Linked DNA regions of Lepisosteus oculatus. The protein of the gene in region 4 purifies or fractionates together with the protein of the main gene of each other region. This does not show direct contact. Links are inferred from orthologs where the notes say so. Each region holds a gene or a part of one and is shown on either strand. Other genes may lie near its edges. The genes, in order: eef1a1a, ccnt1, snrpb2 and snw1.

Region 1 (7,986 bases), on a different chromosome or scaffold from region 4:
ATCCGCAGCAAGATTAATCCTGCAAAACACGTTAAAGTTATTCTCTCCTATCCCATTTACTAATTAACTGTCTGGTCAGTGTTCTGAAAACTTTCATTTGGTTGAACGTAGCCTGTTCGAAATTAAATACCTTGCTGTCGTTTATTCTTTCTACTTTTCAGCGTGAAATTAACCTTTATGTGATCCTCTGTTGTTGCCCACAGTGTTAAATTAGTATTTCCTAGCAGTTTTATTCATGAGTCATATCGTATTTTGTGTTGTTTTCCCTTCTCAGCTGTCTCCCTCAACTAAACACATTCCCTGGAGGTCATTATTGACGTCTGTGCCACTGTGGGCCATTGTTGTAGCTCATTTTTCCTACAACTGGACTTTCTACACTCTGCTGACCTTACTACCCACCTACATGAAAAACGTTCTAGGATTCAACATTCAAGAGGTTAGGACTTTTTGAAACAAGCCTGGGTTTTTTTTATCTTTGTCTAAAAATAACATCTGTTATCTCTATAAATTTATTGCTGTTATTTCATTAGATAATTCCAGTAGAACTAGGGCTTTTTGTTAATTATAAATTGTACACTTTGAAGATTTGATTGATAAATCCTTAATGATTAAACATTTTTTATAGTGTCAGCATGTTAATTGTAAACAAATGCTTGGTTTTTATTTATAATCTATAGTACAAATATTATTAATTTATTTTTTGCTGAATGTCAATATGTAATTAACACAATTTTTTCCCATACAGAATGGATTCTTGTCTGCTTTGCCATATTTGGGCTGTTGGATATTGGCACTTCTAGGTGGTCAGCTTGCAGATTACTTGAGAGAAACATGGATGGTTTCTACTGTAAGAGTGCGCAAGTGTTTCTCATTGATCGGTTAGTTGCACAGAAATATCGTTGTTCTTGGAGAGCTCCTGTGATTTCCAAAGCCTGTTCACCCTGATAAATACAACTTGCTATCAGCATTGCTGTGTGTGTGATATGAAGATGCTTCAGATACTTACAGTATATAGCAGATGTTTTTACCATTAATTATTTTAGAGTTGCCAATTTAACCTTCTTGCCCAATTTGGAAATGCTGGTTGCTATAATTTGGCTCAAATTGGCCAGAAGGTTAACCTTCAACCAAGCCAAATAACCATAACTTCAAATTCTCAATAAACCATTTAATATGCCTATTAATTGGCTGTTGTCATTCCCGGTGAACAGTGTGTTGGGAGTCTAGGTCACATTCAGCTAGTGACTTGATCTAGGCCTTTTTGAAGTTGGTGCACTTTGTGGCTTACTTACAGTGGACTGAAGCTGTTATATACTGTAGGTATTGCTTCGGGGGTTTTGAGTGACCCTTGATAAATGCATGCTATTAACAGTGAATTGATAACATATGTACATGAGAAGAATGTAAACAATTATTACAATTAATTAACAAAATGATTGAGCTTTTAAGATGGGTAACAATGTTGTGCTAATAACTGGGCATTTAAAGTGTTCCTTGGTCGGTCGAATTAAGTAATTTGCTTCTCCTAAATTTAAGGATCACTGACATGAGATCTTAATAAAGAAACCATTCACCAAGCATATTTTTTTTCTTTAGGAATGATTGGACCAGCTGTATTTCTGGTGTGTGCAGGGTATACAGGCTGTAATTATATCCTGGCTGTGACTTTTCTGACAATCTCCTCTGCCTTGGGTGGGATCTCTGCATCAGGCTTTAGTATAAATCACCTGGATATTGCGCCATCGTAAGCAAATTTTCCACACTCATTCTTCTTCAACGAAAAGAATTTCTTATTGAAAAAACCTTCAGTTAACCTCTGCTGCTTATGGTTTCTATCTGTTCATTTGCTCTTTAATCTAGGGTAATACTCATTTATTAAAATATTTAAAATGTATATATTTTTCCTTCTCTTATTTAACACAGAAATATAGAAAATGTATGTGTTTTTGAAGTTGTTTATAAATTTGATTATTAATTTTACTTGTGGATGTTGACACATGATGCACATGTCCTCAAAGAAAATGAACTCCCTAAAAGTCTTAATGCTACATAAATTGAAGTATTGCACAGTGCTGAGAAAAAGTTTGTGAACCCTCTAGGCTGGTCTGTATTCTTGTGTTTTTTAGTTCTAAATTATTAGTACTAATAATTCAATATCTTTATTTAAGACTTTCATGAATTTTGTATATAAATGTATCACACAAAGAAGTGATACATTTGAATTATTACATTTTCTCAGCGTTGTATAGTATATAGTCGCGATTTCCTTGTAAAAACATTTTATCTGTTTTTGTCTTATTAGTTATGCTGGGATATTACTTGGAATTACCAATACATTTGCCACTATCCCTGGAATGGTTGGACCAGTTATAGGCAGAGCCCTTACACATTCTGTAAGTCTCATGAATTGGCATAGAAGTATTTTCTTTCTCTTTTAACAGTAACAAGCCTTTACAGAACTATTTTAGTTTAATTATTTAAGATTATGTGGCAACACTCGAAATAATATTTCTACTTTCTATTAATTATTTCCAATGTTTATATAAAGCATTCAGTAAACACATTGCAATGAAAAGTGACAGATGGAAACTGGCTAAAAGAGAAGAGATTTTTTAATCTAAAAGTTATGCTTTCACAATAATCTTTGCTTCTGTGAATGCTGATATACAGTACAGTAAGACATTGTTTTGTACTTTATTGCAGAACACTATTCCAGAATGGCAGACTGTCTTCTACATCGCTGCTGCTATCAATGTGTTTGGTGCAGTATTTTTCACCTGTTTTGGTAAAGGAGTGGTCCAGGGTTGGGCAGTTCCAGATTTTCACTCACATGGCAGCTAAGCTCTCGGAAAACGAATCACTTTCTACCGAAATCAGGAGACCGCGCTGACCAATGTGATATGCTTTTTTCTGTTCTGCTCAACATCGCCAAATTATTTCATTGTCGTCTAATCTTGTTTAAACATGTTACTCAGGATTTTGTCCTTGCACCAAATTTAGTGAGACATAATTGTTAGATTTTCAAACATTTGCTGACAAAAATCAAGCCACCTTTGTGCATCAACTAAAACTAAAGATACTGAATGGCATGTTATTGTTTGATTTGTGTACATCTTTGACATTATTTTTATTAATTATGTATGTTTAATTCAGACTAGTTTCTTGAGGGGGCAGAAGAAGATTAATATTGACTGCCAGTGGCAGTTTATCATCAAGTGTAGGTTTCCTGAGCAAAATTTGTTCTTTGAAGAAAGTATTGTTTATTCTAGTGAAATTGCACAATTGCCATTTCCTTGGGTTTTATACTATTTGTGTTTTATAGCAAAATCCCAAGGTTTTTTTTTAAAACATGGTTAACGTAGTAAAGTGGGGAACTAGTGAGTTACAGTTTCCTATTTGTTGATATTTGGATTTTAAGTACTGTCAAGTATTTAGAAATTTTATTCAGTGCCTTTATTCAGTGTAACATATCTGAAAGCATGATTCTTGAATATTTGGAATATTAATGCCAGTCAGATTTGATGTCTGCAGACGAGATTTCTTTTCACACTCATGTGCTTGTCAGGGAAATTGGAATATGACCCATATTCCTAAATGCAAGATAGAAATAGGACAAATGAACACTATAAAATGCATTATTTAGAAATATTAATTAGCTACAGTAGCTGTATGAAGGTAATTTGTCAGCAGAGAAGCAATGACACTATAACTAAAAAAGTGGTTTATTTTTCAAACCAGATGTTTGGCTTGATTTTGTTTGTTTTTTTAATTCTACACATTGTTTCCTTTTTTATTTCAATTTCGTAAAAGTTACAGCTGTTATTTGTTGTGATAAGGTGATACGTTACTGCTTTAACAGCAACAAAAAGTCAAACTTTATGAAGTTTTGCTCTACTTAAAAAAGCTGACATTTAAAAAAAGAAGTGGCATAGCTTAGCCCCTTTTTTCCTAAATATTTTTAAATTATAATGTTTTTAGTACAGTAGGTTAAGAAATGTTATTGTAGTGAATTCTAAAGACCTTTCTGTACTTCTGTGAATAAGCTTTTAGTATGTAATGGGAATGTGAAGTATATCACATTGAGGCATCCTTTTTGTACAAATATTAATACTCTTAACTTTAATCACAAATAAATAAAAGCACTTTATTTGTTCAGGAACGTGTACAGTGCTGAAAGGAGTAAATCAGTTTAACATGATATTAAGTTGCAAGGGAAATAAAAAAAAACTTTGTTACGACTATAATAATTTGTATCATTAAATACAAATTACTGGTGTATTTTATTTTGTGACAAATGTTAAAACCAATGTACATGTGTGAGTATCTCTTCATCACCAGAAAAAGGATTCTTGGAATTGATCACTTTAAAATGTAAAACTCTTTCTATTCTATTATTTTTATGTGTGGTTTAGTTGTACTATTTAATAAAAGTGTTGTGTTCTCACCAAAACGCAGAGTGCTTAGCGAACTGTATGAATTTATCATAAAAATCATATAAATTTTATGGCACCTGCTGTGAAAACTTTTCATTCTGTACACAATATTTCCTGGTCAATATTGAACTTTAAAAAAAAGTTCCTGAACTGCATGTATAAATGAAAGTTTGTCATAACGAAATCAATCAGCGCTTGTTAAACACCATGGCTTGTATTTTTTTGCGTACCATGAAATTAAGGAGACTAGACGAACACTAGAGACACACCTAGCAAGGGGACTACTCACAAGTTAAACTGCACTTTCACTAAAGATATCCTCAAACCTACTCTGCATCCACCTGCTTAACATCCCTATTAGCATCCTAGCAACAGAACCGCGAATTAATAAAAAAAGAGCGGTGGTAGTCTTTTTTTTTAACGATGATGTTTGCCCTCCTAACGATTACAGTAACGCTACTCTTAAATGTTTTCTCACCGTCCCTGAAGATGCTCTGTCCTGGCTAAGAGGGGGTATTAGAAATGTCAGTCCTGACGACAATTGCTGTACCCCCTCCCGACAGAAATATAAACGGATCAGCGGCGGCGCTCGCTCTTTTCCGCAACGAGCACGCAGAAGCTGGAGGCAGGTAGGACATTCTGGAATGATAATTGCAGCATCTTTGTTTACTGGGAAAGCCTCGTCTTTTCTTTGGCGCTGGGTGGCATGCTGCGCTGGAAATGAGCCAGCTACACGGTGTATTCACGATTGCGATGCATGTGTTAAAAACGTCTGGATTTCTGAAATGGTTATTAAGTTAGAAACACACATTGCGCTAATGAATAACAGCCTTTGAGCATTGAATGAGGGGAGAATATGGCGGCGATGGGGGGGAGGAGTAATCTTCAGACATCTCAATTATGGGACTGTCGCCCTTCACAGCAGTTTATAACCTAAATTTGCAGCTTCCTAATGTTTCATTGGCTTAAGCCGTTCCGTATCGTTATGGCTGATATTTGATTTTTTTGTAGTGGTTCAGAGCATCAGATTAGAATTTCACACAAGGTGTTTTTTTAATTGCATTTGCCCGTTTTTAATATAATAAACCGATTATGCCTAAAGACATTATATATTGCATTAATATTTAAATAAATAGGCTCGAGGGGGACAGCTACGTTTTAAAACGAGGTTGCAGATTTTAAAATAAATACCACATTGAAATACATAAATATAATCCAGGCAGACGTTTGTCAGTTGCCTATTCAGCAGGATCTGGCTGTTGGAAGCATTTGAGAAATCTATCATACAAACTGATGTTTTGTTACCGATTTAAATGTTTTCTTAATTCTTAATAGAGGCGACACCAATACTCGATTATTCCCAGTTACAGGAATGAATATCCTAATTTGTTTTTTTTTTTATTGTGTTGGTGTAAGATGAGCATGTCTGCCTTATCCCTCTGTTGTGTAATGTGAGCATGTACAGTATACGTCTATAATGGCTGCTTTGTCAAGGCACTGGAGATTTCCTACAAAATGGAGGGAACATTGACATATGCACAGTGCTCATCCACCTTGTACACAAATAGAAATCCGTGGAGTGCGAAATAGAAATGACGAATAACTGCCCATCTCCGGAGAAACGCAAAGCAGCTGTCTGGGTGGAGCAGCCTGATGCAATCTTGTGCCAAGGACTTGGCTGCTGAACTTGAGTAGTATTTGCTGTTCAGAAAATGCTCAGATGCCAGAGACTGTGGTTACAAGTAAGATATTAATGCTGGCATACAGTACAATTAACATAACATCACTTTATTAGCCCTGTACATTTTCTTGTATTAGGAATTCATCTTTTCACAAACCCCAGCTTGCTCTCCATGAGACACAGACAGGGAGAGAAGTTTGGGGTCAGAGCACAGGGTCAGCCATTGTACAGCACCCCTGGAGTAGTTGGGGTTAAGGGCCTTGTTCAGGAGCCCAACAGAGTAGGATTCTTCTGCCAGCTGTGGGATTTGAACCAGCAACCTTCTGGCCACAGACGCAGATCCTTAGCCACAGAGCCACCCCTATACTATACATGTCCATAGTATTACACTATAGTATACACCATACTATACATGTCCATAGTATTCATGACACCTGTTAAAGCTGCTGTGGTTATGGTCTGTGTATAGTTGTGGGATATTTTGTGTTCAAATGTGTAACCTTATGTAAATCTTGTGTTGTAGATTCTATTGTTTAGTATCATCAAAAATTCACAATGGGAAAGGAAAAGACTCACATCAACATTGTAGTGATTGGCCATGTGGACTCTGGCAAGTCGACCACCACTGGCCATCTCATTTACAAGTGTGGTGGCATCGACAAGAGAACCATTGAGAAGTTTGAGAAGGAAGCTGCTGAGGTATGTTCACGGTTTAAGAACACCTTCCAACAGTTTTAAAAATTAGAAAGTCTGGTATGGTAGGCTTTATTCTGAACTTGCAGACCATGGGATTACTGTACTTTATCAGGCAGGTGAAGTGATATTAAGCCCAGGTAACCTTGTGCCAATAAACTAGGTTGTATTTTTAATAGTGCCGCATGGTGTTGCTGAAGCACTTGTTACATGCCTGGTTTAAATAGCTTATCGTATGCTAATTGGTTTGTAGATGGGCAAAGGCTCATTCAAGTACGCTTGGGTGTTGGACAAGCTGAAGGCTGAGCGTGAGCGGGGCATCACCATCGACATCTCCCTGTGGAAGTTTGAGACCAGCAAGTACTACGTGACCATCATTGATGCCCCCGGGCATAGGGACTTCATTAAGAACATGATCACCGGTACATCGCAGGTTTGTACAACTGTATTATCAGTAACCGCCATGACAAGTGACCAGACAACAACAACAGCTCAGATCACCTCTCTTTGTCGCCACCTCGCTTTTACAGGCAGACTGCGCTGTCCTCATTGTTGCGGCGGGGGTTGGGGAGTTCGAAGCTGGTATTTCAAAGAACGGCCAGACCCGCGAGCACGCCCTGCTGGCCTACACCCTGGGTGTCAAACAGCTGATTGTTGGCATTAACAAGATGGATTCCACTGAGCCGCCATACAGCCAGAAGAGGTACGAAGAAATTGTCAAGGAAGTCAGCACTTACATCAAGAAGATAGGTTACAACCCCGACACTGTGGCTTTTGTGCCCATCTCTGGGTGGAATGGAGACAACATGCTGGAATCGAGCCCTAATGTAAGTCAGATGGAGCTTACTTGGCTGTCTGGTGTAGCCCATCTTAGGACACATTGCTTGGAATACCCTTTGTGATTTTTGAGCACCTCTTTCTTTTCACTTAAAGATGACATGGTTCAAAGGCTGGAAGATCACCCGTAAAGATGGCAATGCTTCAGGCACTACTCTTCTAGAAGCCCTGGACGCCATCCAGCCTCCCACACGCCCAACTGATAAGCCCCTGCGGTTGCCTTTACAGGACGTCTACAAAATTGGAGGTGAGAACTGTTGGTTTCTGTGTAAAGCAAGGTGTCAAAGGGACAGAGTAGCAGTCCGTTCCTTAACCCACGTGCTCTCCGGCCTTCCCAGGCAT
Region 2 (7,155 bases), on a different chromosome or scaffold from region 4:
ATAATAATAATAATAAAAATAAAACAACTTTATTTATAGAGCACCTTTCATACAAATAGAAGCTCAAAGTGCTTTACAAACCAAGAAAAAAAATAAAATCTTTAAAATTAAGAGATATATTTCCAGTTGTAAAGGAATAGCCTGGAAAAGTGAAAAAATACATACATTCCTGGTTCTGAAAACAAAACATTTCTTTAATCTATGGAAGACAAAACAGTAGCTAGATCATGTCTTCATTAAAATGCAACTGCACCTGTATTTCCTACAAGGAGATGGAGTTTCTTGAGAAGAAGGAGAACAGCAAGGAACCAGACATTTGCCCAGGAACAAAATTACACTTCTACTAAGTTTTTACACTTACAAATGTGTCACGAACATGTGCTTTGGAACTAATTGCCCTCCATCCCCGGCAGTTATGCAGCTTGGGAAAGTTAAAAAACACCTGTAAATGTAAATACACAAGTCAAATCCACACATTCAAGACTTAGATTCTCTCAGTCCTTAGTGGCTCCCTCACTTTCCAGAGTGACTCACTGGAAAGACTCCAAGTGCAGCCAACAGGGCTGAACTAGACCTCCCTGCCAGTGGTTCACTAAACATAGCATCCAGCCTGACTGTGTCCATGTAGCACCACCAGTGTTTCTATGTCAAGGATGATGCAGTGTGAGCTCCAATGATCTGCTGTGTGTGCAGCTGTGTGAGCTCCGCTGACCTGCCAGGTGTGCAGCTGTGTGAGCTCCAGTGATCTGCTGTTGGTGCTGTTGTGCAAGATCCAATGATCTGCCAGGTGTGCTGTTGTGTGAGCTCTGCTGATCTATCAGGTGTGCTGTTGTGTGAGCTCTGCTGATCTATCAGGTGTGCTGTTGTGTGAGCCCTACTGATCTGCCAGGTGTGCTGTTGTGTGAGCTCTGCTGATCTGCCAGGTGTGCTGTTGTGTGATCTCTGCTGATCTATCAGGTGTGCTGTTGTGTGATCTCTGCTGATCTATCAGGTGTGCTGTTGTGTGAGCTCTGCTGATCTGGTGAGTATGATGTGTGAGCTCCAATGATCAGCCGTTTGTCTGTGAGTTCCAGCTTCTGACTTGTCTAGCACCTTGGCCAGCTCCTAATAATGTACCCACCAGGAAAAGCTGCAGTGCTTTACTTCAACTTGATTGTAAACCTCTGTTTCAGTCTGAGGTACAGCTGAATCCTGACCTCTGATCACATCAGGCAACAACAGTTCATCAGTGGAGAGTCTGACTGGAAACCTGCATTATTTCCCAGTCTCCTTCCACGACACCAGCAGACATGACACTCGCTGCCATGAGTCATCCCTGCAGGAGCAGTCCTCTGGGAGGGTCCGCTCATGTGTTGCTGCACCGGGGCTGGGTGCTGCAGAAAAGACCAGGATAGACATGATGGTTGTCTATCGTGTTCGATGATGACGGTTGTACTTTGTGCAGCTCACCTATTTGGAAGATGAGCTGCACAAAGAAACCTGTGCAGGAGAGCTTTTTGAGGTGGGAAAGCCGTTGCACTGGGGCAGTCCCACTCTCTCGGCCTCAGAAGCCTGGGTCCAGTGGTGCGAGCGGCCGTCATGACTGGAGACTTCCTTGGTTGCAGTGGATGGCCATGACGCCTTCCTGTCCCTTGTCATGCCCTTTGCTTTCCATGGAGCGTTGCAACAGTATAATGACCCATCACTATACTGGGGGCATTAGGACCCACACAGACCGCAGGGTGAGCGCCCCCTGCTGGCCCCACTAATACCTCTTGCAGCAGCAACCTTAGTTTTTCCCAGGAGGTCAATGAAACATCCTCCCAGGAGGTCTCCCATCCAGGTACTGACCCGGCTCACACCCTGCTGAGCTTTAGTGGGCTGCCAGTGGTGAGCTGCAGGGTGATACAGCTGCTGGTGGACAGACATGAACTACAATGAAAACACCAGAATGCACCAGAACCAGTATGCACCAATGCACCAATACACCAGGTGCACCAGAATAATCTGTTACCCTGTATCCACACTAATCCAGTGTCTGTGCAGGCTTGAAAACTGTCTGGTGCCAAAGGAAATTTTAACAGATCTCAAAATGTGTAGCTCATTTAATGTTGGCTGTGTTAAAATTACAGCAGGTCACGTTTATGCAGTATATCATAGCAGCAGTATGGAGAAGGGAGCTGGGTGTGAGTGACAGAGGCTCAGTTAGGGAATGGGGGCTGGACCAAGTTAGAGCCATTTACAAAACACATTCCGCATGGATCGGTGCACCAGAAACGCATTTTGGAGCTAATATTAAAAACAACTTTATATGTACCTCGCCGGCAAGTGAATTCGCGTCACCATTGCCATCGTTTCTCGGCTTTTTCCGGACGCGTTAGGAAAAATAAAATAAAAGATGGCATTTTGCTGCCACCTGCTGGTTGGAAATTAAATTACGTATCATTGTTTCCCATTCGCAATGCCGTCTTGGGTGAGTAGCTCAGATGGTTAACCTACAAATAACCGATTTCCTACAAATAAAGAAAACTGTTGTCATTAACGGGGCTGCACCATAGCACCATAGTTTGTATCGCACACCACCCTGGAGCTCATGCCCAGCATCCTCACGCGTTCAGGGACTCCGTTTTCTGCGTGGTACGCACACGATCCAGAACTGCAGGGGTGTGAGGCCTCAGAGACTGTCCTACACCTGTGCCCAACCGTGTGGGTCACACAAAGCCCCCACCTGCTGTGGCTACAGACAGTCTTCCTCAACCACACTTCACTGAAGCCCAGCAGGTGTGAGCCTGGCCAGTACCTGGATGGGAGACCTCCTGGGAAAAACTAAGGTTGCTGCTGGAAGAGGTGTTAGTGGGACCAGTAGGACCTGTAGGGGGCGCTCACCCTGCAGTCTATGTGGGTCCTAATACCCCAGTATAGTGACGGGGACACTATACTGTAAAAAGGTGCCGTCCTTCAGATGAGGCATAAAAACTGAGGTCCTGACTCTCTGTGGTCATTAAAAATCAGAGGGTGTTTCTCTAAAAGAGTGTTACTCCAGTGTCCTGGTCAAATTTCCCATTGGCCCTTATCAATCATGGCCTCCTAATAGCTGGTGTGTAGTGAGGTACTGGTGCACTATGGCTGCTGTTGCATCATCCAGATGGGGCTGCACACTGGTGGCGGTGGAGGGGAGTCCCCATTACCTGTAAAGCGCTTTGAGTGGAGTGTCCAGAAAAGTTCTATGTAAGTGTAAGCAATTGTTATTATTATTCAATCTGAACCTGCCTGCTATACATTTTTTGATGTATAATGCCTGATGCTGTTTCAAAAAGTAGACTGTGGAAGTTTTTCTTGTGTAGATGATAGGAATAAAGTTTTGTAACAAGCCAAATTAGTGTTAATCATGAAAGCCAGAAATTAATTTATTGAAAGGTATGTAGATTTATTTAGAGACTGACCCCAGCTCTTGTGGTTAGATAGGTTTTCCTTGTCTCTTTATGTCAATAGCTTATTTGAGGAGTCAATTATCCAAATAATCTAAATATTTTCCAGCAGTAGGTAGACATATATATAAGACTTTTACACTTATTAACTCAAAACTTTCTTTCCACACAGTTACCACACACTTTGGAGCATGGTTAGGAGTAATATTATTTTTATGAGGTAATTAAACAATCAAAGCCAATCTGGAACATGAACCAGAATTCACAGCCTCTTAATAATTTCCATTTTTTTGCCCACCTCCCAAAGGACCAATTGGTGACTCTAAATTGTAAAGGAACAAGTAAAGGTTTATTCTTTACTGAAAAGAGGAAAAAATTGAAGTCTCCAAAGCCGAAACGTTGTGTTTCTCTTCTTTTCAGCATGGAATAAACCTTTACTTGTTCTTTAACAGCCTGCACATGCTGACGCAGCTGCCTACTTGAACGACTCTAAGAATTTCAGATTTGAGGGGGTGTTTACAGTACAACCAGTACTGGCTATGGGGCTATAGGCAAATACAACTAAAGAGGCCGCATGGCCTATTCTTACTGTGGCCGTTCTGATTTTCTACGGTACAGTACCACACCAGAAAAGAAAAGCCGAAGCCAAAAAGCCGGTCAAAACAACACCAGACGGTGACATCATTAGGTATTGCCGGATGCGGAAGTGACGTTCAATGGAGGCCTCCATCAAAGGCACTGAGCGTGGCGTTCGTACAAGCAAGCTTCCGGTGACGCCGTATTTTTTTTTATATTGTCCCTCTCAGTAATGGCGGCTTCGTTTCCTTCTTGTTCCTCACCGAATAGCAAATGGTATTTCACCCGGGAGCAGATCGAAAATAGTCCGTCTCGCCGTATGGGGCTTGACCCAGACAAAGAACTGTCGTACCGTCAGCAGGCCGCAAACCTCCTTCAGGACATGGGGCAGCGGCTTAATGTGTATCTTTTCACTGGGGCGCTCGGAGCGCTTGAGTCGCAGCACGGCGAAGCCGGTGAGGCGGCATGGATACGGCGGCTCAGCTTGGGTTTTCCGAATGGCTTGGCAGTGTCAATGTATTAACGCTGGTCCAGAGCGAGGTTTGTAAAAGAGAAAGAGGTGTCGTGTCGACATGTACTGTGGAGTCGGTGTCCTGCCGGGTTCTCGCTGGTTGCTAAGGCCCGAGCAGTGTAGGCCTCGGCATCGGCCTAGGAGTTTTGGATAACAAAAGCCGGCGCCGGTGTTTCCGGCGACTTAGGCGGCCTCTTACAACCGGAGGACGGGTTAATCCCTGCAAATATCATATCTGGTTGGAGTTTTAAGAATCGATTAGTAGAAATGACGTTTATCTGTTATTTCATTGTTGGAGCGAGAAATTCACCGCTGCCGCTAACTGGTCAGCGTGTCTCCAAGCGAACAGCATTGTTCTCACAGCATATAAAACAACACGTTTTCGAGGTTTTCATGCTTATAATGTTTAAGGAAGTCGAAATGTACTGTACAGTCCCCTTGTGATAGCACATACAAAGACGTTTGCGATATTTACTGGAGCCATGAAGTAGCGGTTGTTTAGGGAAATACATTTCACGTCTTGGTGCCTCATGTTTGTCAATATAAGCCCTGGTTAAAATGGTTACACTGTTAGAATCCTGTTTATAACTGTAAAAAAAAAACTGTAAATAATTGAGAAATTAATAAAGTCCAGTGGCGCATTCGAGTTCGGCGTCTCCACATAATAAACATTTTTATCAAGTATTCTTGAGTCGTTCTTTTAGACGAATTCTGTAGTCATCATATTGCATTAAATACACTTAACTGTGATACTTGGCTTGAATGTGGATTACAAGACAGATTGGTATTGAAGGTCCTCACAGAATGGGAAAATTAATTCCAGTTCCCTTATTTTCCTGCAGTTAAAAAAATACTGTGAATGGTACAAAAGGTGATTAAATCACTTTTTAACAGTATTTTATTATAGCTACTGTGTGCTTGATGTTAGGAGTATTTGTCAATATAGTCGTCCTGAGGGTTTGGTAAAGTAAATTAATTGCACTCAGTGGCTGCAAGAGGTATTTGATTGTAATTATGCTACATGTATTTTAAGGTTAGATTCTGTCTCAGGCCCTCACCTGTCATGGGTGGACAGGGATTATTGTACCCATACTATAATCTTTCTAAAAAGTAGGGCTAGGTAAAGGAAGGAGATTTTCTAGGTGTTAACTATGAGGTATCCGTACAGCAGGCTATCATATTAGATGGGTTCTATGCACGTATATTTTCCATACTTGATATTACAATATTACAAAGTATTATGGAGAGAAAGAAAGGTTTGATTGTTATACAAAATGTGGCCTTAGATCATATGTGATTTGTGCAAAACATAAACATGCCAGGGTGCTTTAGAAACCTCAATCTTCAGAATAACTTTGTGACAAAAATATTCATGTTGGGGGATAAACCTATGTTTTTTAACAGAAATGGCTGTTAATTGTAAATCAGTTTATAAGCATCTTGTGACTTCACCTGCTGTACGCTCGTAGTTGTCTGTAGCTATATTTTGTTTTTGAAAATGAATACTGCTTTACTCTCTAGAATGTATGCTTCCATGAGGTGAATTATGCTTGGCTGTGAATTGTAATGCAAGTACTGTGTTTGGTGGTTAGTAGGGTTCTAGGTATTAAAGACATGTCATGTGAAGTGACTGCTGAGACTGTACTGTTAGATCAATAGGAGAATGTCAGCTCAACCATCTGTGGCATATTAACAGTACCCCAAAGTAAAATATGTGAAGGCAGTGTGGATCTGTTAGTTTTGCATTGTGGAATTTCTGTTGGTAATTAACGTGTGTTTATTAATAGCTATTAATAATGACCTTAATTGTAAAATACAGTGTTAATACCAACTGTGTTCAACAGTCATTTGCTCTTTTGTGAAGTGTAATGGATATTGGTTGTTAGTGGTTTTCTCAGTGGTATCATTGCTAGAGCTATTGCAAGCAGCCATGTTTGCAATAAGTAGTTCAGATTAGTTTTAAACTATGTTCATATTTCTGAAACTCTGAAGATGTCTGTGGAGCTGTAGGTACACATGTTCTCTACCTGTGTCTTTAGTTAATTCACTGGATTTGACTCCAAATTACAGTTCATGTATGGTAGGCAGTGCCTGGGGTCATTCTCACCCCTGCTCTTGATTTAGGGTCTGATCTGTCACTTTTTACTTAAATTGGAGTTAAAATTTAATTTCATTTTTTGGTTTTGCATTAAGATGGATCTGCTGCAGGGTGTAAACTGCTTGCTTGGCTGTTAAGTGTTGATCACCATTATAAATAATAAAGGGGTTCAGCCAAACCAGCAGTGTTTTGCCAGAAAAATGCAGTTAAATGACTTAAACCATCCTTGTCTGTTGTGATCTTCTGATGCCTGTTCTTCAGTGTTTGACCAACTTTTGTAGTTTAGATTGCTGTTTTATGTTGTTGGTAAAAATGTCAGGTTTCCCAGTTAAAATCCTGGTCGCATCTCCCAGGAGCCTCTTAAGAAAATCTGAACATGGGAATAATGCAGGGAACCCCTGCCCCCAGACATCAATTTCTAGTAGGTCCATATAGAGTTGGGGAGTTTGCAGAGTTTTTGGATTTAATTCTTAATGACTTGGTTCATTATGAAATTGTTTAGAAGGTGATGGGCAGTTTAAGTCTTGTGTGATGAGATAAAAAGTCCCTGTCTGCTGGTGATG
Region 3 (7,938 bases), on a different chromosome or scaffold from region 4:
CTCATTCCGTTATGTCAAATCCCCAGTCTGTTTCCCGATCGGGGAATATTTGAGGAACAGATAGGAAGATGTGTTGCAAAGACGCTATATAAAACATTTACTAAACGAGAAGCAGTTATTCAAACCTTCGACATGTTTTGCATTTTTGTTGCTTAGTTGAAAGATACCACGTTGTCAGCTTCAAACAACATGGGTGGATAGTTTGTTCTACACTTTCGAAACACTTCGTGTAAATGTATACAAGGTACCGAATAAAAACAATGTAGCGCGTTGCATGCAAAGAATACACGGTGAATAACGCTGCTGCGACTTAAATTCTTTAATATTACAAGAGGAGACGCTAAAGCAGGTAAGAAGACATTTTTAAAGAAAGACTTTGCATTCAAAACTTAAATGCGAAGAAAATATTTTTGTAGTTAGACACTTACCGCCGATTCATCGGCCTGACTCTGACAGCCACTCTCACTGATGCCATCGTTCATTCCTGTGGCTCTGTTGTGATTCGCACCTGTTACCAGCTCAACCGCAGTCTTATTATTTAGGTTTCTTACTTTTGGACAAACGCAAGGGGGGAAAAAACATATTTTTTTGCGTATGTCAGTGTGAATTTCTGAACGGTGTGAACTGTTGACTTTCACTGCACCGGTGCCACCGCAGCAGAAGTAAATACAGGATATCTTTCCAAGGAAAAACTCTCAAACTCCGCTACCGCTGTCAGCTGACAAAGCATGAACTCCAGGAGGGATGCTGTAAAGGACAAAATACTCTTAAACGAAGAACGCGTTTGGAAAAAGGCATCGGGGAAATCAAAGCAAAACCCTCATGACTCAGTGTACGACCGCAACGCAGCGGGCGTGGGAGTTTGTAGGCCTGCTCAGCCACAGGCTAACAGGAAATTATGTGTGTTTAAAATAGGGTATTATTTGAATAATCGAGAGATTCTTGTGGATTGAAACCAGTAATAACGATTCTCATCAAACGATTAATTTTAAATTGCCTCCGTGACCTCTTTTCAAATATGTATTGCAGTGGGCGAATTATGATTTTAGAAAACAATTGTCTACCTGATTTTCTACAGTTTAACCGAAATTCGTTTTCTGATTTTCATTTTGTGTCCTTGTCAAAGTTGAGTTTTGTTTTCTCTTAGTGTTCCTATGGGTTTTTTAGATACAATACTAAGAGAAGGAACATGAGTTTAACATTTGTAGAGTCTCGATTTGTAAATTGAGTAATTTAAAGATCATCTGGGATCAGAATCTGGGTACCATTCTGTCCTCAAAGACATAGTTCCCTTAATTGTAAAGACAACGTGTAATTTATCAATAACTTTCAGATGTTTTATATTTTAAAAAAAATGGACAAACCGAAATTGTACTCTCTAGGACCAAAGCTGGAAATCACTGCTTTAATGTCTTATACATATTATATTCTCATTCACATACTGTATGATCTCTCTTACAATTTTACCTTTTTAATTCTGACTGTAATAGTTTAAACTGGTTAATACAGCACACTCTAATTGCTATGAAAGCTCACATTGTTTAGTATATTAAGTCAAAAATGAATCATTCAAAAATTAAATGTGTTGCTTTGATAGTGCAGTATAGTGGTGCAAGTCATTTAGTATATATTAAATGTAACATTAAATATTAAGCACTATGTAATAGCTGAAGTACGCTGCTACTTGAGCATTCCCTTGAGTAAAGAACTATACTGTACTTCAGTAAAAGCTCCAGTTAAATCCCTGTTTGTATAAATAGGTCTTGAAATCCCAATTGTTAAATAAGAATTTGTTCTCAACTGATAGGTAAAATAAATGAGAAAGAATCAATGGTATATGGAGAAAATATCTTCCTAATGATATTGAAGCTAAAAAAGAAAAACTAATATTTCACAGGTTTGGCACCTCTGAATTTGAGTCTTTGCTTTGGATTTTCAGAAAATCAGCTCCTCCCCTCATCTCAGTCTTTTGTTCTCCCATCTTTAGCAACTGATTTCCCTCTCTCCCTCATGCTTAAAAAAGGTCCCATAGCAGAAACGTTATGTCTCTTTTCATTTTAGCAGGGAATAAACCCTTTCTGGAACATTTGTACTTTGAAAATCAACCTGATAGTGTTAGAAGGGTACTAAAAACCATTTGATGTTTTATGACTCGATGATCATATATTCAACTTCAGAATAAATAAAATTAAGGGACACAATTTATTTTTCCTCTTTAACTTTCCCCATGCTTTTGGAAATCATGGTAGAAAAATGAATTATTATTTATTATTTTCTACAGTGAACACCATTATTTAGATGTTATAACAGAAAAACTGATTAAACATTTAGCTGAACTAGATTATTTGTATAACATTTTAAAAAACATTCTAAAGCATTGAACAAAACTAAAATGGCAATAAAATAATTACAAACAAGCTTGAACATGCTTTAAAAGAAAACACAGAATACAATAATAATACTGTACATTTTAAAGGACATTTCAAAGTTGTGTTTTTTGTCATTTCTTTTAAATTGTCATCATTCAATGTACTTTTCTGTAACATGGGACCAACACAGTGATTTTGAAAAATGAGCCAGGTACATTTTGGTGCATTTATATCACTCCAAATTGCCTGGACCATCTTTCTTCCACACAATTTATTTTGTCAGCAGGCTTTTTCTTTTATGAGTAGATATTCTTTTTCACTAAGCTGTTGATATCCAGCAAACAAAGAGCAATGGTTTTATTTATGAAGTCCGGACCCTCAAACCTCAGCACGAGTGAATCATTCATTTAATGTTTGGAAGGATATCCAGAACGCTCAATCTGCCTCCTGTAAGCGACCAGTCTCAATGGAAACAGAAGCGTTTGGCAAAACACCTTGCCAGTATATTGAATTGTGTTATTTGCTTCCTTTAATATCTTTCACTCCAAGGATCTCCAATCTCTAAGAAAAAATAAATAAGATCCAGATTTAAATGAGTCGCACGCAAATATGCCAACCCTTAGAGAGCCCTCCACAAGCTGCTGCATGTGCCAAGTGAATCAGTGGTATTTTGTAAAACAGTCTGACACAAACTCCTTTGCAAACCAATTACACGTGTCCTGCAGGCGTGACTAAGTAAGCTTATTACAAAAAACAAAGGCTCAAAAAGCCATACATCAGAATGCAATATAATTTCATTGGATTTATGTAACACTTTTATGCCTAAGTATCACAAAAGCTCATTGCACATGAAAGAATGCATTTCACACATTACTGATGTGCTGCACCAACCTGGGTGACACAGAGAAGTAAATTTATGCACCAGGAGCTCCACCATACAGCAGATAAAGTAGAGAACTGAGAAATTTTCTCGACGATTTAATTAGAGGGGAACATTAGGTAAGACAGATAATGTAAGTTCGAAATTAAATTTAGCCAGGAGAATGCCGTTAACATTCTATCCACCCATTTTCTAACCACTTTATCGAATACTGGGTCGTGGGGGATCCAGAGCCTATTCCAGCAAGCAACAGGTGTAAGGAGGGATGGATGTTTGGCAGGGCCGAAACATCCACAGACACATTCACACCATAGCCAATTAATCTGGTATGTCTCTGGACTCTAGAGGAAACACGCATAAATACAGGGATAACATACAAACTCCACGCAGACAGCAATCTGGGAATTGAACCCAGGGCTCCAGTACTGTGACGTAGCAATGAACCACTGCACCACTATGCTGCCCTCGATAAACTCACTACTCTTACAAACAGTACCATTTGACTTTTAATTCCCAAGTAGTTGGGACACATTGGTTTAATAGGCCCTTTGAAGGATGAACCTCCTACAGCAGTGTAGGACCATTTGTATTCTGCTGCATTGGATTGAAAATTCTGGTATGAGAAAAGAGGTTCTTCTTTTAAGCCAACATCACTTACAGGAGCAGCCTGATTTTCCTTTGAACTGGCAAGAGCTTTTTATAATGGGTTTAGTTACACTAAAAATACAAGAGTGGGTAGTGGAGTTGGAGATGTGCCCCTTACTGAACGTGCATGTTTCACACTGGGGTGCTGCAAGATTGTAAGAATTACTCCAACAATGGTGAGTAATAGCCCCAGCCTAACTGTCATTCCCTTGCATAGTAGATGCCTGAATCTCCACAAAACGATTTCACCATGGCAGGGTTCCCGGGTGGGTACACTAGCAGTCCTGAAGCCATGTTTAAAACTGCTGTTGTCTGCATGTATTGTATCCCTGCTAACATGTAGGCCCTCCTCCCGTCTTCCTCAGGGCTGAGTAAAAACACACCCATGGCGCCTGATTATATAGCATATTGTATCACATGTGGTTTGCATTTAATAGGAGAACAAATCAATGAGGTATTTTAAAAGCATTAAATTAACTGCATTCAGATGTCTCTTTGTTGTGTCACAAATAAGACAAAGAATTCCCATTGAACACTGAACAAAGTTACAGGAATTATTTGAAAATAAAATCAGGCAGGAATCTCAGATCAGTAAACCACCGTAAGATTTCACAAGCTGCGTCTTGACAAGCAATACAATACGGTATGTTTTCGGTGCACAGAATCTATATCGAGACCTGTTTGATTAAAACTGTTTTCTAGCTAACACAGGTCATGGACAATAGCTGTATGATGCGTGTTTTCACATTCAGTTAATGTGTACCCCACATGTAAAAAACGCCAAAAAAAATCACAACAAAAGCGTGCTCAAGTCTTTTTTGTCAAGGAGATATTTTCTCTTCACCGGGAATGTAATATTTCTCACACTTTTAAATGTGTAGCTTTAAACGTGTATTTTTAATAGTGGATTCGATAGTTTAATTAACCCAATACAAATTGGTTTCACAAAATTAACGTATTTTATACTGTATGTAATTATTACGTACAGATACGGTATGCAGTCTGTGCCGCTAGAGGGAGCAAGAAGTATGTAGGAACTAAATATTCAAAGCGAAGTGTTCTTGTTGTTTTACACAGTGTTGCACACAGGAAGTGTGATGGTAGTTTGTTTCCGGTAGCGTTTTGAAGAAGAGCGGCGTGAGTTTGCTGTGTTTTAATATTGTGTTGTTTCTATTAATTTTATTTTATGTTTTAATGAAATGCAGTTTAAAAGTGGAACATCTCTCTTTATAATTAGAAATACTAATATGTTCTGTTGACTTTAGTCTTGTTTTGTAAATCACGTACTTGTTTCTTCTAGCTTCTGAGCAAAGATGATTTTTAATTGTTTTTAATTAACTCTTACATAAATACAAATTCATGTAAATACTCGATCTAACAAGAACAATGTTTCACTTTCTTTAGCCACCGAGGTTTTTTAAAAATTAGATTAGAACAGTTTATATGTAAATCTCTTTTCTTCTTGTAGTTATAACGTTGCAGTGCCATCATGGATATTAGACCCAACCACACCATTTATATTAATAATGTAAATGACAAAATCAAAAAAGAAGGTAAGTATTTACGAATATCGTCATTTATGATTCAGGAAGTCTGTTGTTCGGATAAACGTTGCCTATTTGTAACCGTACCCAATAAATTTGAATGTATATAGGGTAAAACCGAAAGAGAAATCATGTACCAGTTGTGTCAAAATAGTGTGACTGTATGGTAATATTGTTTAATAGGAGGCTGTAGGGCCGCGTACAGTCAGATTTTAACTAAATTAATTTAAATTGTATGGGCGTTTGGCCTCTTGTGGGAGCCACCGAGTTAAACAGGAAGCTACAAGGCTGTGTCCAAACAGTATTTTAACTTAATTCATTTGAACTATGTTGACCGCTGGGTTGGGGGTGGGAGTGTCACAGTTTGCATGTCATTTACTGCTATATTTAGATTGACAGTAATTTAGTATGATCTGATTAATATTTCAACATGTTCAGAAATAAAGCACAGTCCCAGTACTAGCAGGCATTGATTTTTAAACTCATTAGATCTGAATAGTGTTCCTGTGCAGTTTCTATCATTTCTTCCTGACTTAATACTTAGTGGTTTTGAATGCACTAATTTTTTTTTATTTCTCCGTAGAGCTAAAGAGGTCGCTATATGCACTGTTTTCTCAGTTTGGACAGATAATTGATATTGTGGCTTTGAAGACAATGAAGATGAGAGGACAAGCATTTGTTGTCTTCAAAGAACTGGGCTCTGCTACCAATGCTCTTCGACAACTGCAAGGATTTCCGTTTTATAATAAGCCAATGGTTAGTTACACATCTGAGTTTTAAGTGCACTTGAGCTGTTTTGACATTTACAAAAATACATACCTTGTATTTGACTTGTCTAGAAAACAAGTTGCCATGTATGATTATTTCATGTAACGATGCATATTTTTTAGGAAGGCTCTTCAATAAGGAATAAATCCAATTCTTACAAGGTTTTTCTACATTAAAAAGAAAAACAGGAACAGCTTTTGGGCCTTTTATATTAAAATTGCATTTTTTTATACTCGTGCAAAAGCCTTAGAGATCCTGGATCTAATTGGCTGTAACAATATATGTCATGTTCGGCATCATTGACACCGCAAGACGTTTCTACTGTTCAGACCACCTTGATAGTCATTAATAAAGCTTAGCATGGGAAAGCTTACATGAGCAGTACATGAAATGTTGGAGTAACGTATTCCATCACATGCACAATAATAAAATCTATAAAATCTAAACTCTATTATTGTCAGGTTTTGCTCACAATTTACATAATAAAACTAAATGGCTTCTTTTTGTAGAGCAAAATGCAGATCTCTCAGGCCTAACTCTTCTCTTAAAATGTTCAAAATTTCTGTATTTCATTACTACAGAACTGTTTCTGCATTTAGAAGGAATAGCATTGAAAACAACACAACAGTATAATATATTTCAAGACTTTTACACAAGAGTATTTATACGCAATTTCTTTCCTGTTTTACCTACACAGCGCATTCAGTATGCCAAGACAGATTCTGATGTTATTTCTAAAATGCGAGGCACATTTGGCGACAAGGACAAGAAGAAGGAAAAGAAGAAGAAAGTTCAGGAGCAGGCAGCAAATGCAACCAAGAAACCAGCCCCGGTAAATAAGTTTTGCTTCATTAAACATAACCCCAATATATCAAAACCACACCCATGCTTCTTTTAACTAATGTTCTTTTTATGAAATTTCAATACCACAAAGCATCAAATAGCGATACTAGCTATAGAGTGAAGAGGAAGGTGCATACAGCGCCACTCATCTCATGTAGACTGCTTGCATCACATTCCACTAACTAACAGAGCCTATGGAGTGGTAGGAGAGACGTGTGTGATGCACTTCATTACATCTTGCTTTCTATGCTGTTCAGTATTGTGTGAGCTCTTGTTTTTCGTGCAAGAAAATTGGCTGTTTTGACATTATAATGGACCCCAAAGGCATTAAGAAAATGAAAACTGTGATTATGTGTGTAATTACACAAAAATCAAATGAAGTGGTTACTATACGGTACTGTACATAGGTATAATTAATAATATCTAGGTAAGCAGTGTTTTTTATTACTAAAAGCACAAACCACAGTATGAATGTTAGGTATTTTTCTGGATGAATGTTTTTCATTGATTCTTTTTCTTTACTTTCTGCGAAACAGGCATCTACGAATACACCTTCAAATGCCCCCCAGACTCAACAGGTATGTGCCAGATGACGGGGGATTTATTTATGAAATTATCTATAACTATAATGAAATAGTTATTCTATATATTATTCTATATTCATATATGTGAGTATGAATGCAGATCTGATAAAGTCCATATTTTTAACTTGTTTGTATTCAACATTTCAAGAAAGAAATACTAAAAATATAGAACATCAAAGAAACGTAAAAGGTTAACTTGCAGGAATAAAAAGATGTTGAAAGTGTGAAATTCATGTCCAATATTTGCAGTAGCACAATAATACTTCTGTACTTATTGCTATAATGTTATTTTTCCTTTTTTCTAG
Region 4 (7,920 bases):
CTCCCCCACTAATACAGTTCCCTTAAGCCGCCTAAAGTGGGCTGACGTCTCAGACTTAGTCACTCTCGCCACAGGTGAGAAAAATACCAGCGTGTTCATGAAACCGCAATCTCCAATCAGAACAAAAAATCTCAAATTTGAAATCAGTAAGATATGGGTGTGCTTTTTAAATAACTGTTACCTTAAAAAAACACCTCTTAAAATCTAGCGCACATGCAGCAAGCTTCAAGTTCTTCCAATCAAACAAGAAATTAAGAGTAAAGTGCTCAAATAACGTTAAAAGCTGTTTAGTTCTGTACTCCGATCTGGGATTTTGAGCCTTAAAAAAGAGGATTAAAATGAGTTTTTTTTTTTAATAGGATGACTATGATTCTAAGAAGGCAAGCGGACCAAGTAACTGCAACACTACAAGCAGAGCACCCCGGTGCTCCACCCTCCGCCTAAGAATAATAATAATAATTTTAATTAATAATTGCTTACACTTATATAGTGCTTTTCTGGACACTCCACTCAAAGCGCTTTACAGGTAATGGGGAATCCCCTCCACCACCACCAATGTGTAACCCCACCTGGATGATGCGGCGGCAGCCATAGTGCACCAGAATGCTCACCACACATCAGCTATTAGTGAGGAGGAGACCAGAGTGATGAAACCAATTCATAGAGGGGGATTATTAGGAGGCCACGATTAATATGGGCCAATGGGAAATTTGGCCAGGACGCCGGGGTTACACCATACTCTTTTTCAAGAAACTCCATGGGATTTTTAATGACCACAGAGAGTCAGGAGTCGGTTTTACGTCTCATCCGAAGGACGGCGCCTGTTTACAGTATAGTGTCCCCGTCACTAAACTGGGGCATTAGGACCCACACAGACTGCAGGGTGAGCACCCCCTGCTGGCCCCACTAACACCTCTTCTAGCAGCAACCTTAGTTTTTCCCAGGAGGTCTCCCATCCAGGTACTGACCAGGCTCACACCTGCTGGGCTTCAGTGGGCTCCCAGTTATGAATTGCAGGGTGATGGCTGGATCTAAGAAGGATATGAAATCTGAAATTTCAAATCGGTTCTCTACAAAAATTCTATCCTAAATAAAAGTTATCTTTGAATTTTATCAACAAAATGTCATTAAAATGAACAAAATGCATATCACACAGTAAGAGCTCTTGTGAAATCTTACTTACCTCTGACTTGGCAGCGCTGTATTCCTCGGTCCCATATTCAAATCTTCGGAGAGATGTGAAGTAGTCGTAACTGATAACTGCGGTCTACAATGGAAAGGTACAGGGATATTAACCTAACAGTGCTTCTGTAGATATTGGATAAACACTTTCTACAATGAACAGTAGGTTAAAGAGGCAGCACATGCGGAATTAATGTCAAGTCATCCTTTTGGTTATCTTTATGTAAAAAAAAAACAATAACCAAATTCTTAGTAGGAAATAGCTTCAGACTATACTACACTCCTAACGCACTGTATAGTAAATCCCACATTACTGTCTCTTCTTAGCATACCAGCCTCCATGACGACTGTCCTTACAAGAAAAAGCAGATTGGAAACTGTCCTACGACAGTTCCACATGAAAATGTAGAAGCTAGAAAGGTTGAACCTAACTAGAGCCTGCGTTTCTCTCTGAGTAACTCTGAATGTGTTTGGTGTGCGAAGTGTGCTGTTCATGCCAGTGTCATTTCTCCCAACATGGACAAACAAGAACTGGCTCCTCTCCTGCCTTTGCTAGGCACCAGTCAGCCCCATCAGCAGTCTGGAGAATGGCAGGCATTGTGGCTCACTCTTACTGACCCGGGATCCACATGTCTCGTTTCACTTGCAGTTTGTCTGATAACAGCGCCTCCAACAGCCACCACTGCCATATTCTATGCATTTCTGGTGGCTCTGTCACAGACTGAAGGCTTTATAACAGCTGTGCAGTGGACTCCAGTATCTGTGATCATGTTTTCTGCTACTCAGAGGTGTCCAATCTTGACCCTGTACTTCCAAGTCCACTGCCAGAGTGTCTGGTGATGACGAGTTGTTGGGTGGGAGTGTCAGGATGGGCTGTACGTCCTTTGACAACCTGAGCCCAGCTGCCCTCTATCGGCTGCTCTGTGCTGACTGTGGGTGGTCTGCCTTTTCCTCCATCTCCTGCCCTCCGAGTCCCAGACGCTCTCTTTCTTCAAGGAGGAACAGAACAGTGGGAACTCTCTGGGACTGTCCACAAGCCACTTAAGTAATCACAGGCTTATTGGCCATTTTCAATGTACATATCCACTCCTGGACAACTGGCAAATGTCTGAGCTGTGTTATTTCTAAACAAGCCACCTGTCTTCAATCTAGAAACCCTCTCATGGCACAGCTACTACTATCAATTGTATTTAATCCAGCACACATGAGCTAAATTAAATCATAACAGCTCCCACAGGCTGGGTGTCCTCCTCTACAAAGGTTAGCATTCAGCACTACCCTACCAACAGTTTCCCAAAGAGTTTTGGTGATAAAAAAAACAGTGGAGTTGCTTTGCCAAATGTTTCTCATAAAGTAGCAAAGGGCAGCTCATCTGTTAACTCGCAGCTGGGTGTTATTTGGTCCAGACTTGCAAGGTACGGCACTTATGCTGGGAATGACAGATCCCGCGTGAATAAACACACACCATCTTCATTACTGAAGTTCAGATGGGCCAATAGCATAGATGCTGGGCCATAGATGGGCCATAGTAATTTAGCCTCCTCTTCTTCATATTTGTTTCTTATGTATCAAGGACGCACCACAGGTTACAAACACGAGGAAGAAGAAGCCGCCTGGCCCACCTTGCTATTTTTGGTGCAATAGATGAAAGTCGACAGGAACCTACCGTGACCGCAGCTCTTCCGAACCGGATGAAGCTGATGTCATTGAGATCCACAGGCCTGTGATACCAGCAGAACCCCGAAGAGGCCAACAGGGCCGTGGCCAGCGAGGAGACCTTCAGCAGCCGTCCAGCCATGAGGGCACTGCAATGTGGAGAGGAGGAAGCACACGCTCTGTTCTCCCACAGCACTGCCCACGCCAGCTGCGAAGCTCCAGTACAAACGGGGCTGCGATGATGAACATACACATTTCTGACACAATCAGCTGCTTCATTTACCGGCAGTTACTTCACCCTGAACAATCTTACTCCCAGAAGCTGCTTCTGTCAAGACCCATTGTATATTAAAAAGTAGTATTACTCCACGGGTTAAAACACATTTAAGCATGATGATGCATGGATGAGGGTGTTGCAATGAGTAAGGCAACAGGACAGGTGGGAGTGTGTCGGTACTGAGGGCTGTGACACCTTGGTCTGCTTTGTCATGAGCCTGCAGGGCCATTCCTCACAAGCCACTAAAGATGAGTGGCCTTTACATCTGAAAAAAGCGCTCTGCAGCCCTGGCTCATTCTTCATTTATCATACTGTACTGAAACAGGCTTGGCTGCATCCAGTTCAGGCCTGCAATCAGCCCGGATTACCTCGTGCAATATTTCAGTGATATACCACTCCCCGTCTCTGCAGACAGCCTCTGACACGCAGCTGCAAGGACTGTGTGCTGCTCTACGTACTTCATTTTCTCTTTTTTTGCTATGATCTTCCACTCTTTATCAGCATATTCAGTAATATTAAGATAAAATAAAAAAAATATAATCAGTCAAAGAAATTCGACCATAGCTTTTGTGGTGTTTTTTCATCTTATGCATGTTTCTTATTTGTTAGTTCACGTCCTATCAAAGGTGCACTGAGTCTTTTACCTGCCTGCAGAGCATACTTCCCGTGTAGGATGATGAAGGAAGGAAGTAGAGGGTCCCTGAGCACTGCTTTCACATGCTTGAGCAGTTGGAGGGAGAATTAGCAAAGATTGTGTCTCTGCATCAGGGTGTTGTATTGTTGTATGGGAACAGCACCCGTCTCTGCCCATGCATGAGCAAGCAGTAACATTTATGGCATTATAACACAAATTCTGAACACTAACATTGGAAATACTCTTACTGACCAACATAATACACAACAGAAAAAGGTTACAATACATGTAGAGTTTCAGAGAAAGGGACCTTGCCTTGAGTTTAACGTTACGAATCAGAAAGGCATTTCAGAGAACCTCCTGCAAGTAGTACTATTCAGCAGTGAGCGCAGCACTTTACTAAGTCGCTAAACAAATAATACTGACCATCATCATATTTAATTATGGTAATTGGTCTTCGTATATCACGAATCGTTTTCCCATTGTTGTCATTTGTGTGTTGCTTTCAGTACTGATGGCTACAGTCACACTGTGTGGATGGCAGTTCATGTCGCCAGTGGTGAAGACACACGACATCATACATGAACTAAACGTTCAGAAACAACCTGTAACATTACAGCAGCAACAAGGCTTTTCATTAAGGATGTTTAAGAAAGGTATCGGAGTTGTACTGCATTTCATGAGCAGTGCAGTGCAGTGCCATGCCATTGACATTATGTAAGTTGAAGGTTTTGTAACACTAACGATATGTACAAATACAAAAGACGCTACAAAATAAATGCACCAAAAAGCAAATCATTTTGTCTTGTTATGAAATACGCACAAAGTGCACACATACAACACTTGCTTACGTTTATTATGCACATTTGTGCAAGTAAATTCCCATTCACTTACCGGTCCAGACGACCTCTCAACTCCCGACCTCAATTATTCTCGACCTGCTCTGCGCAAGGCACCCTGGACAATGTAGTTGATGATCGGGGCAGTCTCGTTTTATTTTTTTATTCAAAAGATTACTCTGAATCGATATTCACCAACGGGACTGATTTATTTTTAGTAATGTTAAATATGACAGGCATTCTACGCGTATTTGCAAGCGCGTCTTGTCCGCTACTGAATCACAAGGTTGTGTAATTAGTGGAAACTGTACAACTGCCGGAGGTTAAGCCTGCGACGTGACGCAAGGAAGCGCGTGGTGACGTCAAACGCCACATTCCGGGGAAACAAGATGTCGCTGGCGAGGTGAGCTGTGTACGACAGAGCTTGTTTTGGGACTAAACGGCGATTATTGTGTGTACGACAGTATCTCGCGATCAAGAATACTAACACGTTTGTTTGCAATTCCTTTCTGGTAATATGCGAAAGCAATAAAGTGATTTATGCCTCCGTTCCCGCTCGGGTCGCTCTGCGCAGTTCCGGGCCCGTCCTGCGGGCCTTATTTATCTCCTGGCCTCCGGGAGAGAGAGGTTTATTCAGTACCTTTTCGAATGTTATTCTCAACGTATGTGATTATATGTAGGAATCCCTATCATTGGCTGACTCCACGGTGTTTAGCTGTTTGAACTGCCGGCTCTCGCTGTCTGGCTGCGCCTCGGTTTCTTGAGCCGGATCGGTTTACAGCTGTATGGTGTGAGTTTGAAGTGAGGGGTCAGCAGTGTTCCGTGCTGAGGAGAGATGAGATCACTTTATTGGCCAAATACAGTTTCTTGCATTAGGTATTTGTCTTTTCGCACACCCCAGCTTGCTCTCCATGAGACACACAGACAGGGAGAGAAGCTGGGGGTCAGAGCGCAGGGTCAGACCCTGGAGCAGTTGGGGTTAAGGGCCTTAATCAGGGGCCCAGCGGAGTAGGATTCCTCTGCCGGCCGCAGGATTTGAACCAGCAACCTTCCAGCCACAGGCGCTGATCCCGAGCCACAGAATCATTGCTCCGCCCACTTGTTGTGAAGTGGTCGTCTGTAATAAAAAGTCTCACAATGGGACGCTTTATCCTTTGTCCTTTAGTGTGTAACCGCAGTTTGTGGAGATTACAGTTACTCTCAGTTCATCTTTAAAACACCTCAAGCCCCTGTTTGTTTTTTTGCTTGGTGCACTGGTTGTTAGTGGGAGCGCTGATCGGGGAATGTGTTTTGGGTTGCAGCTTTTTACCGGCCCCGACACAGCTGACCCAGGACCAGCTGGAGGCGGAGGATGGGCACCGCTCTCAGAGGCCCCCGTCCACCGCGCTGGTGTCCTCCCGCAGAGAGCCGCCGCCGTACGGCTACCGGAAAGGCTGGATTCCCAGGACGCTGGAGGTAATTCTGCTGCAGCTACTCGGGCTGCCTGCCTTGCTAAATGTCTGCATCTGCTTAACCTGTGTGATTCATGAGCTTGCCGTTCAGCCGGTCCAGTAGGTATGTGCTAGTTGGTCCGTACCTAGCATCTCCCTGCCAGGGTATGGATATCAACATATAGCGAGTGGCTTGTTTCACACTCCCACCACTCATTGAGTAAAGACATGCTTCTCCTTCTCAGTTTTAAATGCACTCCCCTGCCGTTTCTGCTTGTGTCTCGTGGTTAACGTTTCATTGTGGCTTCCGAAGAAATCCACAGAGCTTGTCTCACAATTTTGAGTACTAGTGTTGAGCGTGCTTGCTATTTTCTTTTTTTAAGACTAAAAGTACAATACTGAAACCGGGCATTGAATACAATTATAACTCGCATTTGTTTCCAAACTATTTCTTTTGTGTTTTTTTCCTCTGAATTGACGGAAAACCCTTTAAGCATGATATGATGTTAAAAGTCCCATGCTGCCCTGGGTATTGAGACTTTCCCTACAATACTGTACATTATTCCTTATACTTATCTATTGCTTTCCGCCCCATTGCACAGCACATCAGCAAGTGGCGTGCTGAGAGATGGCTTATCTGAGACACAGTGTTAACACCACTTTTTAATAACCAAATTGTCAGACTTAGATTTAATATCTTATCCACTGTGTGGATCAGCAGGTGAGTATTGATTTCCAAACTTTCCAAGGTGACCTCATCAGTAGCTTCAGGGGACTAACACAGACCCACTAATACACATACTGTTTTTGAACTCATTCCCAGGATTTTGGAGATGGCGGTGCTTTCCCTGAGATCCATGTGGCCCAGTACCCACTGGAAATGGGCAGGAAGAAGAAGACCTCGAATGCTCTGGCGCTGCAGGTGGATGCGGAGGGAAAGGTCAAATATGATGCCATTGCAAGGCAAGGGCAGGGCAAGGATAAGGTATGGTACCGTGTTTTCAAATGTCGCAGCATCACAAACATCCTGGCTGCACAGGGAGATAAACCCGCCGGTTTTGGTTAACTTCTGTTTTTAAAGTCCTAAAGGAACTGTTAAGCAAGAAAAACGATTGCAAATTCAGTCGTTATACCCTAAATGTATTCTTTATAACGTAGAGTGATGCAACTACTCATCTGCTTGCCAGAGATGCCTTGTTTACATTGGTAGATTAGCGCAAATGATGTTTTAAGCATGTTCTTCTTAAATGTGCAGCACTGGCAACCAGAATGTTCTTGTTTTTAATTGCTTTTAGGTGATATACAGCAAGTTCACGGATTTGCTTCCTAAGGAAGTTATGAATGAAGATGACCCAGACCTGCAGAGGCCTGATGAAGAAGCGGTTAGAGAGGTGCGTATTTTGTCCAGATTAAACTGCACTGGGAAGAAGAAGCACTTTGATTGCTGACTCCTAATTCTTCCCGCTTGCTTTTGTTTCATGGTCAGTGATAAATTAACATGTTCTCAATAAAGACAGCTTTTATTCCCTGGACCTGAGGCTTTGGACTTTGATATGAATATTACCACTTATCAGTCCATCCACATTTTACCTTGGAGCCCATTTTGAAATAGTGTCTTCAAACTGAAGGGAAAACAATTGTTTTGATGCAGCTGACAGAGAAGACCAGGTCTGCCTTGGACAAGCAGGTATCGCAGAAGATCGCGGCAGCCATGCCTGTGCGGGCAGCCGATAAGCAAGCCCCTGCACAGTACATCAGGTGAGAGGAGTCACTGGTACTTCCTGGTCTCTGTTACAGAATTGATCCCTTAATTGACCTAATATCAATTTGAAATCAAACTCAGCTCAGCTGGAACAAAACCAGCGTGTTTATGGCTTTCTGGGACAAGGCCTGGGAACCCCT

What was found.
Region 1: the proteins of snw1 (region 4) and eef1a1a purify together in Homo sapiens (affinity purification with mass spectrometry; 3 studies listed by BioGRID and IntAct, with this or other methods). This does not show direct contact. The link is inferred for Lepisosteus oculatus from reciprocal best matches to the Homo sapiens genes SNW1 and EEF1A1.
Region 2: the proteins of snw1 (region 4) and ccnt1 purify together in Homo sapiens (affinity purification with western blotting; 3 studies listed by BioGRID and IntAct, with this or other methods). This does not show direct contact. The link is inferred for Lepisosteus oculatus from reciprocal best matches to the Homo sapiens genes SNW1 and CCNT1.
Region 3: the proteins of snw1 (region 4) and snrpb2 purify together in Homo sapiens (affinity purification with mass spectrometry; 3 studies listed by BioGRID and IntAct, with this or other methods). This does not show direct contact. The link is inferred for Lepisosteus oculatus from reciprocal best matches to the Homo sapiens genes SNW1 and SNRPB2.

The regions. Positions count from the first base shown.
Region 1 is NC_090712.1:11,006,684-11,014,669, forward strand, and holds the start of eef1a1a (elongation factor 1-alpha 1a), read left to right. Parts: upstream 1-4,976; 5' UTR 4,977-5,062; intron 5,063-6,637; 5' UTR 6,638-6,669; coding exon 6,670-6,813; intron 6,814-7,060; coding exon 7,061-7,240; intron 7,241-7,337; coding exon 7,338-7,634; intron 7,635-7,740; coding exon 7,741-7,891; intron 7,892-7,982; coding exon 7,983-7,986. Other genes in the region: slc17a5 (sialin), read left to right, coding at 275-436, 746-878, 1,597-1,744, 2,303-2,393, 2,704-2,841. UniProt on the Homo sapiens protein: Translation elongation factor that catalyzes the GTP-dependent binding of aminoacyl-tRNA (aa-tRNA) to the A-site of ribosomes during the elongation phase of protein synthesis.
Region 2 is NC_090696.1:14,602,535-14,609,689, forward strand, and holds the start of ccnt1 (cyclin-T1), read left to right. Parts: upstream 1-4,137; 5' UTR 4,138-4,215; coding exon 4,216-4,385; intron 4,386-7,155. UniProt on the Homo sapiens protein: Regulatory subunit of the cyclin-dependent kinase pair (CDK9/cyclin-T1) complex, also called positive transcription elongation factor B (P-TEFb), which facilitates the transition from abortive to productive elongation by phosphorylating the CTD (C-terminal domain) of the large subunit of RNA polymerase II (RNA Pol II).
Region 3 is NC_090712.1:8,264,196-8,272,133, forward strand, and holds the start of snrpb2 (U2 small nuclear ribonucleoprotein B''), read left to right. Parts: upstream 1-4,932; 5' UTR 4,933-5,031; intron 5,032-5,362; 5' UTR 5,363-5,383; coding exon 5,384-5,447; intron 5,448-6,021; coding exon 6,022-6,194; intron 6,195-6,903; coding exon 6,904-7,038; intron 7,039-7,585; coding exon 7,586-7,627; intron 7,628-7,938. Other genes in the region: kif16ba (kinesin-like protein KIF16B), read right to left, coding at 429-475. UniProt on the Homo sapiens protein: Involved in pre-mRNA splicing as component of the spliceosome. Associated with sn-RNP U2, where it contributes to the binding of stem loop IV of U2 snRNA.
Region 4 is NC_090703.1:2,093,339-2,101,258, reverse strand, and holds the start of snw1 (SNW domain-containing protein 1), read left to right. Parts: upstream 1-4,902; 5' UTR 4,903-4,977; coding exon 4,978-4,991; intron 4,992-5,889; coding exon 5,890-6,043; intron 6,044-6,841; coding exon 6,842-7,003; intron 7,004-7,313; coding exon 7,314-7,409; intron 7,410-7,669; coding exon 7,670-7,776; intron 7,777-7,920. Other genes in the region: adck1 (aarF domain-containing protein kinase 1), read right to left, coding at 1,184-1,267, 2,849-2,980. UniProt on the Homo sapiens protein: Involved in pre-mRNA splicing as component of the spliceosome. As a component of the minor spliceosome, involved in the splicing of U12-type introns in pre-mRNAs.